Drosophila melanogaster: one gene and its partners. The gene in region 1 interacts genetically with each later gene. Each region holds a gene or a part of one and is shown on either strand. Other genes may lie near its edges.

Region 1 (5,327 bases):
CGGTCCTGGAGCATCAGCAGCTCCAGTTACGCAACGACCAGGTGACCGAAGGCGATTGCCGGGCGGAGGTGCTCCGGAACGCCAAGGTGACGGACGAGGACTACTTCGTTTCGCCGCCGGGCAACATTCCGCTGGAGCAATGAGTCGCATACAACGATGCTTTAAGTCCCTGGCTTCCGCTGGCTTCTTTCGCACCGTGGAAGACAATAAACTGGAGCTACTGAGTCATGGAAGGGAATACGCCAAACTGTTGCAACAGCATTGGACACGACTACGTCCCTTGGCTGCGCACCTGGGCGCCACGAAAGAACCCATAAATCCAGTCAACATCCAGCGTTTTTCCTTTCCACAAAGCCAGCAATTCCGTAACAATTTCCAAAAACTCGTCAAAGATCATCCTCGAAAGGCCAAATGTCCCACTCTTCTGAAACATCAAAGCACTTGTTCTGGTCCCACTAGCAATTCCCTATTTGGGATAAAGGGTCCTACGCTACATTTAACCACGGACTTCCTAGTGGAACCACATCGCGCACTGGAGCACTTCTACAACATGCAGCGTGAGAGCAAGATCTGGTGGATGCGTCTTTCCTCGAATCCCAGTCGCTACCGCATCGTACCTTGCGATTTGGCTGAGGATCTCAATCCCAACGACTATCAAGCCATCGATATCCGCACGAGCTACGGTGATGCAGGAGAAGTGACCGTGGAGCAACTGAGCCTGGTGAGAATAGTGGACGACAAAGACTTCCGGCTGCCCGATGCGCGAACGGGTGAAATTGTGCAACCGACTGTCATAAGGTCTGTGATAGAGCTGGAAACTACCACCTGCGGTAAGTGGTCATCATAACTATCTTTGAAAATCTTTCTATATTATTATCCTTTAGCTCTGCTTCTGGATGGCTGTGATCATGGCCGGGACTCGCAATCCCTGCTCTTACACCGCGTTCTGGCGCCATATCAATGTGGAATTGCCTGTGTGGAAAGTGATTCCGAGCTATCTGCTGACTTGTCTGATCTTTGTCAGCATCTGAAACATGTTCTCAACCACGCCGGTCTTAGACTTTCTGAAGGGGATGGAATTCGTACGACGAAGAACGCTTCTCATTTAGCAGAGCACTTGCTGGAAACGGATATGCTCGGCATACCTTATACACTTGTTATAAACGAGCAAACGCTAAGAAACGGACTGATGCAGTTGCGCAGCCGGGACACAAGGCTGGCGGAGACCATACACATAAGCGATGTACCGGACTATTTATTAAATATATTTAAAAACTAAAAAAAACAACCAGGGGCTACATAAAGTCGCAGAGATATTGGCGGACATTAAAGCCCACCACCTTGCCAATCTGCAGGACAAACTCCAAGCCAATGGTGCACTGCAGCCTAGCGGAACCTTCCATTATGTTTTGTTCGCCGGAGACGAAGCTTAGTAGATTGAGGTGCACCAAAGTTGAGATCTGGGAGAGAAGGTTGCAGGTCAGACCGACTTTCTCCTCTAGAATGGCGTAGAAAATGGCCAGCAAACGATCGATGCTAAAGGATTTGGGTCCCAAAGTGGTGGACATTTTCTCCGTGGTCTAAAAGGTATTAAAATAAGCAAATGGAGTCATCGAAAAATTGAATAACCCACCTTGGCTCTGGCGTTGACCGTCTGCATCCGCTTTCGCTGTTTTCCATGGTGCTTGACGAACAATCGCTTGTCCTGCTTGGCGGCATTGTGGCTGGCTAAGAAGGCAGCGATCAACAGAAATTTGGCATAGTAGGGCAGCTCCAGCGACTGCGCCAGCTTGCGAACGCTCTGATCTTCTATGGCGGTGAAATCTTCAACTTCTTCCGCGGGTTTTTCAATTCGCATATAAATCTGGGTTAAGGCGGAACGCAGTGGTCCAGCTATATGCCGCCAAAGCCGGGAGATGTCCGTGGCATCCACAGTGCCGTCGAGTACAGGCTCCAAGTATGTGGACAGACACTTCCTGGCGGTCAGCTGGAGCTCTGGAACATCGCGACAGGCTTTGTAAAAGACGCTCAGAAAGAGATTCAGATAGTTGTTGTAGAAGTCTTCAGTTACGGCTTCCTGGCAAATCTCCAGACGCTTCTTATCCTGGGCGAACTGTTCCAGCAGTTGATTTCGCACCTGCTGAAAGTCAGATCCCAGGATGCGCTGTGTCTCCGCCTTGTTGTACTGCGCCAAGTGCAGGCAGACGATTTCACTAAGTCCGGTCTTGTTGTAGAACTTCTCAAAGGGCAGCTGGGAGAGCAGAATAACGCACAGATTCAGGTTGGTCAGCTCCTGCAGTCGGAGAAGAACGGGCAACACATTGGCATCCATGTCGCGCAGCCTTTCCGCGTTATCCACGGCTATGAGAAATCCCTGATCCTCCACGCGTGTAGCGGCCTGCCGACGCAGCTGCTCCACAAAGTCCAGCATGTTGTCGACCTTCAGCGCATCACCTTGATCGGGTGCCAGCGAGTCTAACAGGATCTCCAGCATTATCTTGGTGGTGTAGCATTCGATGGCATTTAAATGCGCTGTGCGGACATTTTGCCGTTTTCCACATTCTTTGAGGAAAGCTCTGGTCAGAGCTGTTTTGCCGGTTCCACTGTGTCCGAATAGGTAAATTGCCGAGGGATATGTCTCACTCGAATCTCCTATCAGCTCGCCCAGCGTTTCAATGGCCGCCTCCCGACAGGGAAACAGCGGCTCCAAGGAGGAGCAGATGGCTTCCATAGCTGTCGTCTGCTTTTAAGTTTCCTCAGCTACCCACAGGCGAAGTGGTGTTATTTAAACGGGCTTTCAAAAGGGAAAATACTTCCTCGGTTTATAAAATAACAAAAATAAATTACGAGCCAGCCAGTTATTAAAAATTTGTTTACAAGAAATGGTTTCTGTTTAGTGTGACCATTGAAATGGCGCCAAATTATTCCCTCTGGTATATACCGAACGTGCGTAACAGCACTGGTACCTTAGCATTTTTCAAACAATCGAAAAATATCGATATAACGAAATAACGATAGTATTGAGGGCCATCGATTTTTGTTCCAGCTCTAATTTCGGGTGATTAATTTTGTGCATTACTTTTCCAAAGAGTTTTTTCCACAACGCTCTACTCTTCCGGCCCAGGCAAAGCCAGAATCCATCCCAGCAACGCCAGCTTAATCGTGTTGACGGCCCAGAGTCCGCGATTAAAACGAGAGCGAAGCTAAAATCCAGCGGAAACAACGCCCAATTGCTACACAGCGATATCCAAAATCCGAAAATCCGGCGAACCGAACCGAAGAAACTACGCGTGTGGTTGGATTTGGACGAGCGAACACTGCACATTCCGAGCGCATTTAGCCACCCACGATGGCCGAGACATACACCTTTGGCACCTCGCTGGCCTCCATCACCTGCCACGCATGGAACAAGGATCGAACCCGTAAGTGCGACCCAAATTACTCATCCGGCACAGTGTGACTCACCACCACCCACTCCCAAAAATTCGCAGAGATTGCCTTATCGCCCAACAACCATGAGATCCACATATACAGCCGGGAGGGCAGCGACTGGAAGCTGGCGGACGTGCTCAACCAGCACGATCTGCGCGTCATGGGCATCGACTGGGCCAAGAACACCAATCGGATTGTGAGCTGTGCCGCCGACCGTAATGCCTATGTGTGGACGCAGGGCGACGATGGCAAGTGGAAGCCGGCGTTGGTGCTGCTGCGCATCAATCGGGCGGCAACCTGCGTCAAGTGGTCGCCGGCGGAGAACAAGTTCGCTGTGGGTTCGGGCGCCCGACTCATATCCGTGTGCTATTTCGAGTCGGAGAACGACTGGTGGGTGTCGAAGCACATCAAGAAGCCGATCCGCTCTACGGTCACTTCGCTGGACTGGCATCCGAACAACGTTCTGCTGCTGGCCGGCTCCACGGACTACAAGGTGCGCGTTTTCTCGGCCTTCATCAAGGACATCGAGGAGCCACCGACGCCGACGCCGTGGGGCAATCGCAAGCCCCTTGGCCAGCTAATGGCCGAGTTCCGCAACTCGCAGACCTCGGGTGGCGGCTGGATTAACAGCGTGAGCTTCTCCAGCGACGGTAACAAGGTCTGCTGGGTGGGCCACGACAGCTGCGTGAGCATCGCGGACGCTACCAATGGCAATACGGTCATTCGATGCCGCACCGGCTATCTGCCCTTCCTGTCATGCGAATGGGTCTCGCCCACGTCCGTCGTGGTGGCCGGCTATAGCTGTGTGCCACTGCTCTACAGTCTGACTGCCGATGGAAAGCTGGTGCTGAGCGGCAAGCTCGATAAGTCGCAGAAGAAGGAGTCGAGCGGCATTACCGCCATGAGAATCTTTCAGTCGATGGACCGCAACATGCGCACGGAGAACACGGACACGGTGGTCGATTCCATACATCAGAACGCCATCACCAGCGTGCGACTGTATGCCGGCGACAAGGCGAGCGCCACCAAGGTGTCCACCTCGGGCGTCGACGGGCAGCTGGTCATTTGGAATGTGGAGCAGGGCGGCATCAATGGCGGCATGCGCAACCTGCAGATCTAGTGCGGCCCGGAACGGACCAGCGTTACGTGTTATTGTCTGTTAGCGAGTGTGTTGGCCTGGCCAGGAGCGAAGTATTTGCCAAAATGTTTTCCAAAATCGCTTTTCCCATTGTTCTGTACCGTGCGAAAGCCTTTTTACATAAATTAACCGAAGAGATTGTTCTTTCCCCCCCCCCCCCCCCACCAACTTCCATAATGGTTCCGAAAGTGTGTGTGTGTTTTAAAGTGTTTCACCTTTATAGCAAACTGAATAAAATGTTTTTTATTCGTAAAATCAAATGTTAAGTGTTTGTTTTTTAATAATTAATCGTTTCAAGCAGCAAGAAATTTGATTTGTTGGAATTTTTTGAAAATGTTTTATATTTATTTATTATTAATTTAACGGAAATAAATTTGAATTAAATCAATGTGACCGCCGCGCAAGCGCACAAAAATACCTAGGCTGGCGGCAATCTTACGGAGGAGTGTGTGGTCGCAGGTTGGACTTCAGTTGCCTTAAAGGATGTTTCCTTTATTAAAACGAGGATGCAGTTCCACCTGATCAGAAAGTACGCCAGCAAAGTTAGCCGGGAGCACTACGCCAGCAGTAGCGTGAAGATCTTTCGGCGGGTCAAGCCTCCGCAAAAGGTAAACAAACCAAAGAAGCCGGAGAATGTGGAGAATGGCCCAACGGAATATGCGGAAAATCTGGTCAAGGTGCAGATGATCTCGCGGAATTTGCACGCCCAACTGTTCCCACAAGCGCCGCGAAGCATTTCGGAGCAGCAGGTGGCCTC
Region 2 (6,043 bases), on another chromosome or scaffold:
GATAAGTTCTCCCGCATTGCGTCCGAATTGCTATAAAATATTAAATGTTAGAACATTTTTGTGATCTTTATTTTTTTTTCATAGTTTTAAATAACTAGATTATTATAAAATTGATAAAATTAAAGGGTTTGATTGGCGTTTAAGTCGCAATCACTACATATTGAAGCATATCCCTCTTCCTTTTTATTTAAGGGTTGAATTATTCCTTAATACGCACTAATGACACCCCATCATTTCTTAATTTCACTTATTTTACCTATTTACCTAAATTACCCATATATATATATATATATACATTTTTTCTGCCATAAAGAATGGTGAGTATGGTGTTTTAATAATTTGTTATTAGCTAGTTGATATACGCAAATATCTCCGTTTAGAGATTGTTAACAGGCGGTGTTTACGGTTATTGGGAATTGTTTTGCGAGACAAATAATAAAAGTGAAAAAAAGTATCACTGTACAAAATAGTCGACTTCCTCGACTATCAGATACCCGTTATTCAGCTAGTTAAAATGCCATAGCGAAATTTCATGATTTGTCTGGGATATCGATAGATATTGGTGAATAAAATTTTTGGGAAATCAATCAAAATTTAAAAAACTAATAAAAATGTGAAAAAATGTGGCAGTTTTTGAAGATTTGTGGGCGTGGCAACATAGGCCAACAAACTTGCGCTGCGGGTATTTCTCTAGAATCTGTATGCTTAATCTCAACCTTCTAGATTGTATAGTTCCTGAGATCTCGACATTCATACAGACGGACGGACAGCGTCAGATCGACTCGGATATTGATCCTGATCGAGAATATATAGGCTTCATATGGTGAAAACTCTGCCTTCTACCTATTACATACTTTTCAATGAATCTAGTATAACATCTTACTCTACGAGTAACGGGTATAACTACAACTACAACATAGTATATATTCGTGAAATATATATGTGTAATGGTTATGGCATGTCGGTTAAATCGCCAAAAAAGTAAAAAATTGCAAAAATACATATATCTATAAGCAAATTTGGTTATTAACAAAACCACGGTCGAGGGCTTTTCTTGGCCCATTAAAATATGAAAATAGAATATGAATATTAAGGAGCAAATCTAACCTTGTATTGCTTTTCTTTGTACTCTTGCCATGGTTCGGGATTTGATGTGCGATTCCAAGTGACATCGGGATTACGAGTAGCAAGTCGAGCCATATAGTAGACGGCTCCAATAGCTCCCGCTCCAACGCACACATAAAGTGGAATTAACTGAACAAATTTTTGTTATGCAATCAACAGATAACTTAATATAATCATAAAACTTACAGCTGGATTTTTTTTAAGACTTTGCAGACCAAGACCTTGCATTTTGTCTACGTTATAATTAAAATGTATTTAATATGTAAGAAAGAAACACATTTATAAAAAATTACCTAACTTTACTCAATCCAATAAAACAGAATGGAACTATATATTAGATATGGACATATTTCGATGCCAACAGCGATGTCATCGATGTTTTCCAAACATCGGCAACTCGATGTTGACTCAAACATAAAAATATATGTATTCATAACAGGCAGATGTCATATTATTTTATATGTGACATGCCAGTATTAAGCGATGCTGGTATAGAATGGGAACTCAAAAATCATGCACATAAATATTTTTTTTTACATCTAAGGAATATATTATTTTATATACGTAATTTTTATGCATGCTTGTCGCACAGGTTTTATGTTAGGCTGTCATAATAATTTCAAGCCGCCGGGAACGATATAATCTTCTGAAGTAGTCATGCATTTTTGTTACATTTTGTTTATATGTCGAAAGGATTTTTTTTCAATAATAACAAGAAAAAATGCTATGTAGACTTTCCCGACTATTAAATATCCGTTACTCAGCTAGAGGCAATATGATCGCGAAATATCATAATTTTTCTGGGACACGGATAGAAATTGGTGAATGCAATGAGAAAATATTTAAAATTGTTCAAAAATGTGGGCGTGGTCGTTTTTTGGTCGGTTTGTATCGTTAGAGTGGGCGTGGCAAAAAGTTTTATGACAAATCAATAGAAATTTACAAAACTAATAAATATATGAAAATATATATCAACACAATTTTCAAAAGTGTGGGCGTGGCAGCGTTAGGCGTTAGGTTAATATCATATGGTTAATCTAAGCTTTATAGCTTATATTGTTCCTGAGATCTCGACGTTCATACGGACGGACAGACGGACACGACCAGATCGTGTCGACTACTGATCCCGATCAATTGTTCCAATGCTTCCATCAGCCTATTAGGAACTTTTAAACGATTCTGGTATACCCTATTACTCTACAAGTAACCGGTATAATAATAAACATAGAAAACAACAATCCTGATATGTGTGGAATATGTTAATTCATTAAATGAAATATTTTTGTTGGTAAAAATTAAAAATATTATTAAACTTTTCTCAATCGTCTTCAATACTTGAATATCACATATTTTTCACGAGAGTTCAATCATCAAAAATCAATTTTAATTATTTTCTTAAAGTCATTACTAAAGAATGACTCACAGGACTCAAAACTACAAAACTATTTAACTTATTCATTATATATTGGTTACGTTACGTAGGTCATGTGGCTCAGTGGGACTATGATATATTTAAAGCCCGCATTCTTTACAGCACTGCAAAGTTACAATCCTGGTACTATTAATAATCAGTGGACTACATATTATCGAAAAAGGCGTCGTCGGTTAAAGAATTTATGTTAAAACCTGATAAAATGGGCACGTTAACCGATTTCGGACAGATAGCTTTGAAATGGGATCCCAAAAATTTGGAAATTCGCACAATGTCAGTTGAAAAAACACTTGAACCCCTTGTATTACAAGTAACTACTCTTGTAAATACCAAGGGCCCAAGCAAAAAGAAAAAAGGTAAAATGTTTATAGCTTATAGTGCCTAGAAAACCTAAATATTAGAACTTTCAATTTTAAAGAAACTTTTTGCGAGTCGTGAATAACTGTGCGTATACTCATTTTAATTTTATTAATTATAAGTATTGTGTACATACGAGAAATGATAGAAAATGTTCTAAAACGGCTGTGTATACTATACATACATATTGTGACATCTTAAATTTTGTAGGATAGAAAGCATTTGAATTCATGTAACAAGCTTAAAACTGAAAAGGAATGTGAAAGCATCTTTTACCTCTTTAAACGCAAAATTGCGAAAATATAAAAAAATAGCCTATTAGTGATTTACATATATTTTGATTGTGTTTCATTTTGTTATATGTATATCTTTCCAATTTCTATCGATATGCAATAAAAATGTTCAAATTTATAGTTCGCTTGGCCACTAGCTGAGTAACAGGTATCTGATAGTCAAGGAAATTTACTATGGGGTTCGCTGTAATATATATTTGTTACTCGTAAAGTAAAATGGGGTACTAGATTCGTTGAAAACTAAGTATGAGGTAGAAGAAAGCGGTTCCAAAAAAAAAATATATATTCTAGATCAGGATCAATAGCCGAGTTGATCTGGCCATGTCCGACTTTCTGTCCGTATGACAAAGCGTTTTCATATGAATTCATATTTTCATTAGTCTTTTAAATTTCTATCGATTTACCTTTTTTTTTTATTAGAGTTTATCATTTATTATTAGTCATACGTCAATAGGAATCGTTCAGTTCCTTCTGAACTTAACCTAATGTGTAGCTTAAGAGATATGGATTCCGTTCCTTAATTAAAGTGTATACAAATGTACCGTGGAGAGAATCGATTTATCAAAAAACGTTTTGCAACGCCCACTCTAACGCCCAAAAATTGGTTTTCACACAAAAATGTTTTGGTATTTTTCATACTATTTTATTGATCTTGTAAATCTATTGATATGCCAAAATACCTATTGTCAGGCCCACAAACCGCCCAAACTTTTTGAAAAATATATTTCTTGTTTAAATATAATTATTTCTTTTTCAATTTTTACCGATTTTCCAAAAAAATTGAAATCTTTCACACTTCTAGTTGAGTAACGGGGTATCTGATAGTCGGGGACTCGGTTATAGCATCCATTCCAGTTTTTGTTTTAAGTCATGTCAATTCTTTTTGCAAAACCATTTTGGTCAGGAGAACTATATACAGAACTATCACAGGATGTAAACAGCTGTCAGGCCCTTAAAATACAATAAATTGTTACTTCATATTATTTAATTACTGTTTTTATACCCGTTACTCGTAGAGTAAAAGGCAGAAGGAAGCGTTCCCGACCATTAAAAGTAAATATTTTTTGGGCTGGCTCCAGCTCTCTTGAATTTTTGTTCAAGAGCCAGATTTCGGAGAGCTCTTCAGCCAGCAACTTCATTTTACGCATACAGTGACAGCCGAAAACTTTTTGTGTGTACACGAATACTCATGCATTGTAAATTTGACAAAATATGCCCTACACTTCAGAAGTTTTTGGAATTTAAATCTATATTATTTTTGGTCAATTGGCATTATTTTAAAAATAATTTTTTCCTATTCGTATTATTTTTATGAAATATATTTTTTTAAATGTATTAAACTGTATGTGTTAAACTACAAAAGTAATAATAACTATTCCATATCGCAACTTTTTTTCATTTATAAGTTTAAATATTGATGAACCTAATATTAATGCTGTAAAAAAAAACTTCTCCCAGTCCCCTGTTGAAAACTCCAAACATGTTAATTCGTTTCTTAGATCAAAATTGATTTCGGCCCGAAAATCGTCTTCTAGCACAAGTACGCACACATATACACTTTCACGTTTAAACGTTACTCACACAAGCAACCAAAGTCTATTATTTTACGCTCTCAATATTATTCGAGAGAAAAGAGCACAATCTTGGCCGTCACCAAACAAGTAGCTGCTTAGTGAAAAACCAATGTATGGCCCTTACGCATCTTGTTATTCTAGTGTCTTTGATCTGACCCTGTCCGCCCTTCTGTCTGTCCGTTCGTATGAACCTCGAGTTCTCAGGAACTATAAAAGGTTGAGATTAAGACATTTACGCAGCTCAAGTTTGTTGACCCATGTTGGCACACCTATTCTACCGCCCAGAGCTGCTACGCCTGACCTTTGGAAAAATGTGAAGTTTTTTCATATTTTTATTAGTCGTGGAAATTTCTATAGACTTGCCAAAACTGTATGGTAAAAGAGTATACCAGATTCGTTAAATTCCGACTATATAAAGTATATATATTCTTGATCAGGATCAATAGCCGAGTCGATCTAGCCATGTCCGTATGAACGTCGACACATTAGCTAGAAGGTAAAGCCGCCCTAAAACCGCCCAAAACTGACACGCCTACATTTTTGAACCATTTTTCTATGTGCCTAAAATTTTTTGCCACGCCCACTCTTACGCCCTAATTTTTTATAATTTTTTTAGTCTTGTAAATTTTTATCGATTGACCAAACACTTTTTTTCGCAAGTGCGAGAGTACAAGATAGATAGAGGGCGAGAGAGAGTAGCTTAGACAACGAAAGATAATCGCCTATCTGAGATGCCGTAGAGCTTAATGTTGTGTCTCCAAAGTTGGCATGTTTACAAATAAGAAATTTAGGCATTGCTGGCTGATGCAAGACCCGAAAATCGATTTTATTAATGTGATCATTTGATCATTACTTAATGCCGTTTTGTTTTCTTATAAAAATCTATTTTCGCTAGCCCCATTGCAAACGATTTTTTTTGACGAAGCGTAAACAATTTCCTTGGCCTTGGAATCAAATAAGTTTAAATCAATTATAGTATTGAAAATGTGTGTTGAATATTGCATTCTGCAAAAAAACAGATGCCGTTCGAATTAATAGTATTTAAGGCTCGTAGACTCGGCGTTTTCCATCTTAAACTTTAAGCTGTTTGGCAGCTTCATTTAGGTAAGTTGACTCATTTGTAAATTTCTTTGGTGATCGAGAGGAAATAATCAACTTTTACATATATATATATTTAAGTGGTTTAAAAATATCAAAAAACGTATAAACATTGTCGAATAATCTTCTCAATTTTAATAGTTTCTAATTTGTATTTTGTATTT
Region 3 (5,898 bases), on another chromosome or scaffold:
TTGTTCACATATAATTTAAAAAGAATGTTCATCGATCGCTTTCAGCTCATTTTATATAAACGAGAACCTAATATGTCCCGATATGGTTACCTTTAATTGCTAATTGCTTGGCTTATGTGCCGGACATCCCATCCACATCCGATCCACGAACAAATGCGTTATCAGCTGTCAGATGGGCACTTTCACTCGGAAAAAAAAAGGCGAAAACAAAGGAATTATGCTTTTCCAGTTGATTAGTCGGGTCAGCGGCGGCTAATTCATGTCCGCATAAATTTCAATTCAAATCTCTGACAAACTCTGGAAAGTTTCGGAGCGTAGGTGGCCCGCAAATGGATCGCATTACATGCAGATACTTTGGTATCTATTGCCATTAGGAATGATGAAGTAAGTCAAACAAGACGGCCAGCTGGAGTGGAGTAGAGTGAATTGCATTGGATTGGATTGGATTGGATTGGAGAGCAGCGGTCTCCGAATCCGAATCCAAGTCCAAGTGGATTAAATCGAGCTGGAGTGGGGACTTCACATGCAAATCAGGCTGAGACAGGAAATTATTACACACTTTTCCCAGTCTAGTTTTGGTCATGTGCTGGTGGTGCCTGGTTTCGGTTGCTTTCGCAGCGATTCATTAGCATTGCACGGCTTCCGTATATGGGCTCCGAAAATGTATAAAGTGTTCGTGTGCGGCCAGGCCTATGCCCAATTGCTATAGGGTTATATGGCTATATGGGTCAGAGCTTCCCGTGTCTAGGTAGTGATATCAATCCGTTATCGGGAATCAACTTTCTGTGATGCGGTCACCACAATCGAGGAGACGGGTGGCCGGAGACCTTGGCGGTCTGTCTGGATTTGTCTAGGGTTCGGATTACGGACTATGCCATATTATTATTTCATACACTATAAATACACTATAATGCAATAGATATATTTTTTTTTTTGTAGCAGACTTTGGCATAGCCCAAGAAATACTAGCAGGCCTTGCAGCCTCAAGCTGAAAGTGCCACATATAAATAGCAGGTAATTGGAGGTGAGCAAGTGTGAAGCCACCGGTTGAGATAATTTAACTATCCATCCAATGACTTGGCCCACATTCCAGCTCCAGTGCTCGTGAGAATCGAGTCCGTCTGCTGAATGCCCCCGTATCGCCTCGAACTACTCCGTGGGCTAGGCCAATGTCAGTCTGGCCTAGCTAGCCTAGAGCCTAGAATCCGCCAGCGGCTTGCGTCATAAATAAGGCGGCCACAGGCCAGACGAACCAGTTCGCGAGCGGGTTTGGCGGCAGTTGCAGTTGCAGATGCAGAAGCAAACAGTTGGCCGAGATGCAGATGCTGATGCAGATGCAGATTATGCAACCTGCGCATTTCGTGGAGAAAGCTCAATGGAATTCTAGCGCAGATTGCGGTAGTTGACGTCACAACGGAACTTGCCGTTAATTATTGGTCATTCGTTGGGGATAATCCCTCCAATCGCGAATTATGATAGCCCCCATTCCCTGCCCCTTCCCGTTGCCCAACTCCCTCTAGGCGTCAGTGTGTCGCCAGGAAGTAAACTCAGCGCAGCCCGAAGTGGAGCTACAAGTCATTGAAAACCCACACAAGTAGAGCGTAGGACAGACAAGTGGTATTATGACATTTCCCAACCAGCATAGAGGTGTTGTGTCAGTTGAGTTGGTGTAAAATATGCGATAAATGCCATTGCTATGCTGTGCAGTATTTGTTCTTTTTCCTTTCCAAAGCCATACATACATTTCGATGGACTTCAGTCAGCTGGGTTGCTATAAAGCTATTGCAGTTGCAGTCTTCTAATTTCATGCCGAATCCAAGCCAGGAGCTGCTTCATTCATCGCAACCAATAAGTGCTGGTCGAGAGTGCGAGAATGGGATAGCATGGGATGGGTCTTGAGAGGATCCAGCAGAGGCTCGACCGTTCAGATTGCCCAACTCTTACCCCCCATCGGCATTTCTACACTCGCACACAAGAAGGCAACCGAAAATTATTACTAATTAATTATTGTTGCACAAACAGCAGACGCCTGGCTGCAGTGCACCTCGAGTACTTTCGGTACCTCCAATACCGATCCCATCCCGCCATATAATTTGCCGAATTGGACGTCGGCCACTTGTTTGTTTTTCGTTTGATTTTTGTTTTATGTTTGTTATGCGGCGCGCGGCATTTCGTCAGCTCATTCAATTGAAGCTCATTCAGCCGCACTTAAATCAGGGGCGAAGTGAGCGGGGGAATTGGTGGATTGCGGGATGGCGGCCAATGGGCACTTAATTTCGCTGGAGCGCATTTCACTTTCATTTCCACACAATCAAAATACGTCGAGTACCCGGGCATCGGACATCGGGCATCCGAGCATCGGGGATCGGGGATCGGCGATCGGAGAAGGGGGACTGGGAAAAGTGAGGCGCAAAAATTTCAATTTCATTTTATTTATGAGCGTCTAGGCGACACTTTTGAATGCAAATGACGTTAAATTGTTGGTCAAGTGAGAGCGGACTCTCGCTGCCTATTCCCCCTTTTCCCTGCCCCTCATCTACTTCGCCCCCCCCCCTCGATACGAGGCTCACAGACAGCAGGTGGAAAACCTTAGAGGTGCAGCAGGGAACTGCGTGACGAAACCAAAGCAGTTAAGAGGGACTTACCCTTCAGCCAATAACTTTTCTTCGAAATTGCAAAAGGGGTTGCGAAGTAAAAGCACAGAAGCTAGACAGACTTCCTAACCAAACAAAATAGTTTATGAATATAACAATAGATGTATTAAATGTACAAAGTATTCGAGGCGACAGTGTAGCAAATAGTTTTCACACCATTTTACTGGGTTGCACAAAAAGCGATTCAATTTAACGAAACAACCGAACCGAATTCGTGTAAAGGTCCACTCTTTGGCAGGTTTAAGTGGATCGACCCAGAGACCCACTAACGCCCCCAAAAGCCCAGAGAATCCCTTGGCACTCACCGTGTTGATCTTATCCATGAGGACACTCATTTGATTCATGCTCGACATAATGATACTGCTCTGTAGCACTGGAATTCGAATTCAAAAACTATAACTATAGCGTTGCAAGTCTCTTCTGCCGCGGACTGGGATGCAGCACCAATTCGCACATCACGCACTGCTCATTGCCAATTCACTTGATGCAAAAAAAAATTAATCCGAAGAAAAAAAAAATTTTAAATTGACATACAAAGTGTATTCAAACAGTGTTCGTTCGCTTTGCGAAAAGCACACGCGCGCGCGTATTTCCAATTTCCGATTTAATCAGTTCGACTTCTATATAGCCTATAGCCTTAGGTTTTGCTTTCCATAGCCGGTCTCTGTCTGCCGGATGACTTGACCCGCTCGCGTGCGTTCTTATCGACGGCTGGCAGCGCATTGAACGCTCGCCGCTCAAGACGTGCCCACGGCAGCGGCGACTTGGCCAAAAGCAACACGACGAGCACGAGCACGTCGCCGCGGCAAGCCGAAGAAGTTGGCCAAGACAGAGTGGCAGCGACAGGTGCCAGCAGAGAGCCCGAGAGCCGGAGCGGGCTCCAACGCGAACGCGAAACCGGTCGACGGCAGAAAGCGGGCTCTGAGCCTATTCTGTGCCTAATGCCGCAGACCCCACTGTGTCCCAGTCTCAGTCGCACTCCCGCCCGCACACCGCTCGCCTTGGCTCGCGGATTGGGGCCGCCTTGGTGGATAGTGGGTGGTGGAAGGTGCTGCATTTCCATGTGCGTGCGGGGTGCATTCCTGGGGTATTTATGAAATCACAAGGGCTGAGACACTTGAAGAGATATCGAGGTAATTATGGGTGTGAAACGAAGAGCTTACTGCTACGAGCATTTAGAAGACCAAGCGGAGCCTAAGGTCCACGATACTGGAATACCACCTGCGATTCATTCCCAAATGCAATCCAACCAGTGATAGTTTAACTTCGAAAGGAGACAACTAGCCGACCAATGTAAAGGAGTTGGAAGCATGAAACCAAGCCAAGAAACAATTGGACAGCCGAACTGTCTATCGAACAACTTAATTAGCTCTGGCAAATCAGCCGCACACAACAGACAATTGTTAGTCCGCTCGATAAGTTGTTCGGCAACATGCACATAGCCATGTTCACCGGTAACTTTGGCAATTGTGGGCTCAAAGCCGCCAGAGTCGAAGTCAAAGTCAAAAACAATTTAAGGTCGTCACAAGTAAAGTTTGTTATTCCCTCTCTTTTGTTTCGATTTTGCAAGTGTCATGCAAAAAATAAAATATCATGGCAATACCGCCGTGTAAAAACACCGCCTCTGCCCCTCTATCTCCACTTCCCGATTTTCAGCAACGATTCTCATCATCTCTTTTTTTTATGTAACGGTCCTTATTAGAGCCAATGTTGTTGTCTTATACCGACGATCATTGGCCAAATACCGAATGCTGACGGTCATTCAATTTGGAGTCGACGGCATGAGGTGGCCATCCGTTCTTTAGCTGTTTTGGCTGGATATTCGCGCCTTTTTTTTTTAGCTTTTTGATACCCTTAACAGTTGAAGAGGCAAATGCTATTATTATTTTAAAACCAATTTGATGGTGTAACCATCTTCTACCACGTCTAAATTTTGATCGTTGAAAATAGAAGAGCGACTATTCAATGATGTATCATACTTATATTTATGGGCTGTAAAGCGCACTCATTTTCCGATTTTCTAGACCTATCGAACATTTACCAACTGCCTCCTCGGCAGCGAACCGTCTTCAATGACTTCTTACTCACCTGTTGTTGCTAATTGGCTTCGTTGTTGGGATTAGTCTTTGGCTGCAAGTGGAAAAGAGGAGAACGGCGAGAAGCAAATTAGTAGGAATCCGTCATAGTCATAGGTAGTCGGAGTGGTAGTCTCCCTATTGATTAATGCAATCCTCACAGCCCGAGCCAAATCGAATCGACTCTCCCATTTCCCATCTCCCATTTGCTACTCGAAGGGCTTTTTATGGGTGTTGTGCCAACTCATCCGAAAGCCACCACGCTTCGATCGCAATTACTTGGCCATTATGTGATGCAGCCAGACATAATTTCCCATTAGCAGCTTTTTGTCGATGGGCCAAGAAAACGTGAGCATGAGGCAGTTCGTAATCACTCAAAGAACCCACTTCATTTCCCTGGCTAATCTGATTTGGTTCGCCCCTATCTCCAGGCACAACCTCTGCCCAGCCCCTTTTCCATTTCCAGCTAATCGCAGATGCTCCTACTTCATCAAGTCTGCCTCCGCCCGAAATCTTGTAAAATCATATCCATATCATTTTTGAGCTTGAGCTGACGAAATCCTAAAGTACAGAGAAGGTGTTTAAAAACATTGGTTGAAAGTGAAATTTTGCCCACGGCCGCGTCGTCTTCAATTTGTTTATTTTCGGCTGTTTAAATGAGTTTTCAATTTCACTAGAAAGCATGAAAGTACGGCCTTTTAATATTCTTGCCGGGCAGAAATCACAGCGAAATGGAGAAATACACAAACAATTTATCCGCCTGTTGGCACCTGACATGAATGAGTCAAACACAAGTGTTTGCTCGCCCCGTCCTTTTCCTTCGGACTCTCTCTCTCTCTCTTGCGCACGCCCACTAAATCACAAGTGTGAGTGACGAGTGGAAAGGGTGGAAAGGGTAGGGTTAGGGGTGCAGGTGAAGGGCGCGATAACTGATGTGATGCGGCTAATCTGCTTGCCAGTTTCCTGAGCCTTCTAGGGGAAAATCAAAAGACTTAAGCAACGAACTTGGGGAACAACGCTAAGGAAACAACAAAGCTGAGTAAAATAAATCTCTCGATGAAAGTGTATTATAATAATCACTGACAGCTGCCTCTCCCAGCGGCGGATCACCCGCATCTGTGCCACTCGCTCGCACATCCGTCAATTGGCCCGACTCTTTCCGGCTTACG

The links. A genetic interaction does not mean that the proteins touch.
Region 2: of Arpc1 (region 1) and alpha-Cat, changing one suppresses a phenotype caused by changing the other (phenotypic suppression), as found in Drosophila melanogaster (one study listed by BioGRID).
Region 3: of Arpc1 (region 1) and DAAM, changing one enhances a phenotype caused by changing the other (phenotypic enhancement), as found in Drosophila melanogaster (one study listed by BioGRID).

Annotation. Positions count from the first base shown.
Region 1 is NT_033779.5:13,827,441-13,832,767, reverse strand, and holds Arpc1 (Actin-related protein 2/3 complex, subunit 1), read left to right. Parts: upstream 1-3,026; 5' UTR 3,027-3,058; exon of another isoform or gene 3,059-3,124; 5' UTR 3,125-3,349; coding exon 3,350-3,422; intron 3,423-3,491; coding exon 3,492-4,552; 3' UTR 4,553-4,827; downstream 4,828-5,327. Other genes in the region: GatC (Glutamyl-tRNA amidotransferase, subunit C), read left to right, coding at 1-143; PolG2 (DNA polymerase gamma subunit 2), read left to right, coding at 140-830, 885-1,279; Orc5 (origin recognition complex subunit 5), read right to left, coding at 1,296-1,580, 1,634-2,731; PolG1 (DNA polymerase gamma subunit 1), read left to right, coding at 5,077-5,327.
Region 2 is NT_037436.4:23,334,745-23,340,787, reverse strand, and holds the start of alpha-Cat (alpha catenin), read left to right. Parts: upstream 1-2,687; 5' UTR 2,688-2,741; coding exon 2,742-2,913; intron 2,914-6,043. Other genes in the region: ND-MLRQ (NADH dehydrogenase (ubiquinone) MLRQ subunit), read right to left, coding at 1,108-1,254, 1,312-1,353. UniProt on the Drosophila melanogaster protein: Associates with the cytoplasmic domain of a variety of cadherins. The association of catenins to cadherins produces a complex which is linked to the actin filament network, and which seems to be of primary importance for cadherins cell-adhesion properties.
Region 3 is NC_004354.4:1,305,117-1,311,014, forward strand, and holds the start of DAAM (dishevelled associated activator of morphogenesis), read right to left. Parts: upstream 3,357-5,898; 5' UTR 3,008-3,356; coding exon 2,960-3,007; intron 1-2,959.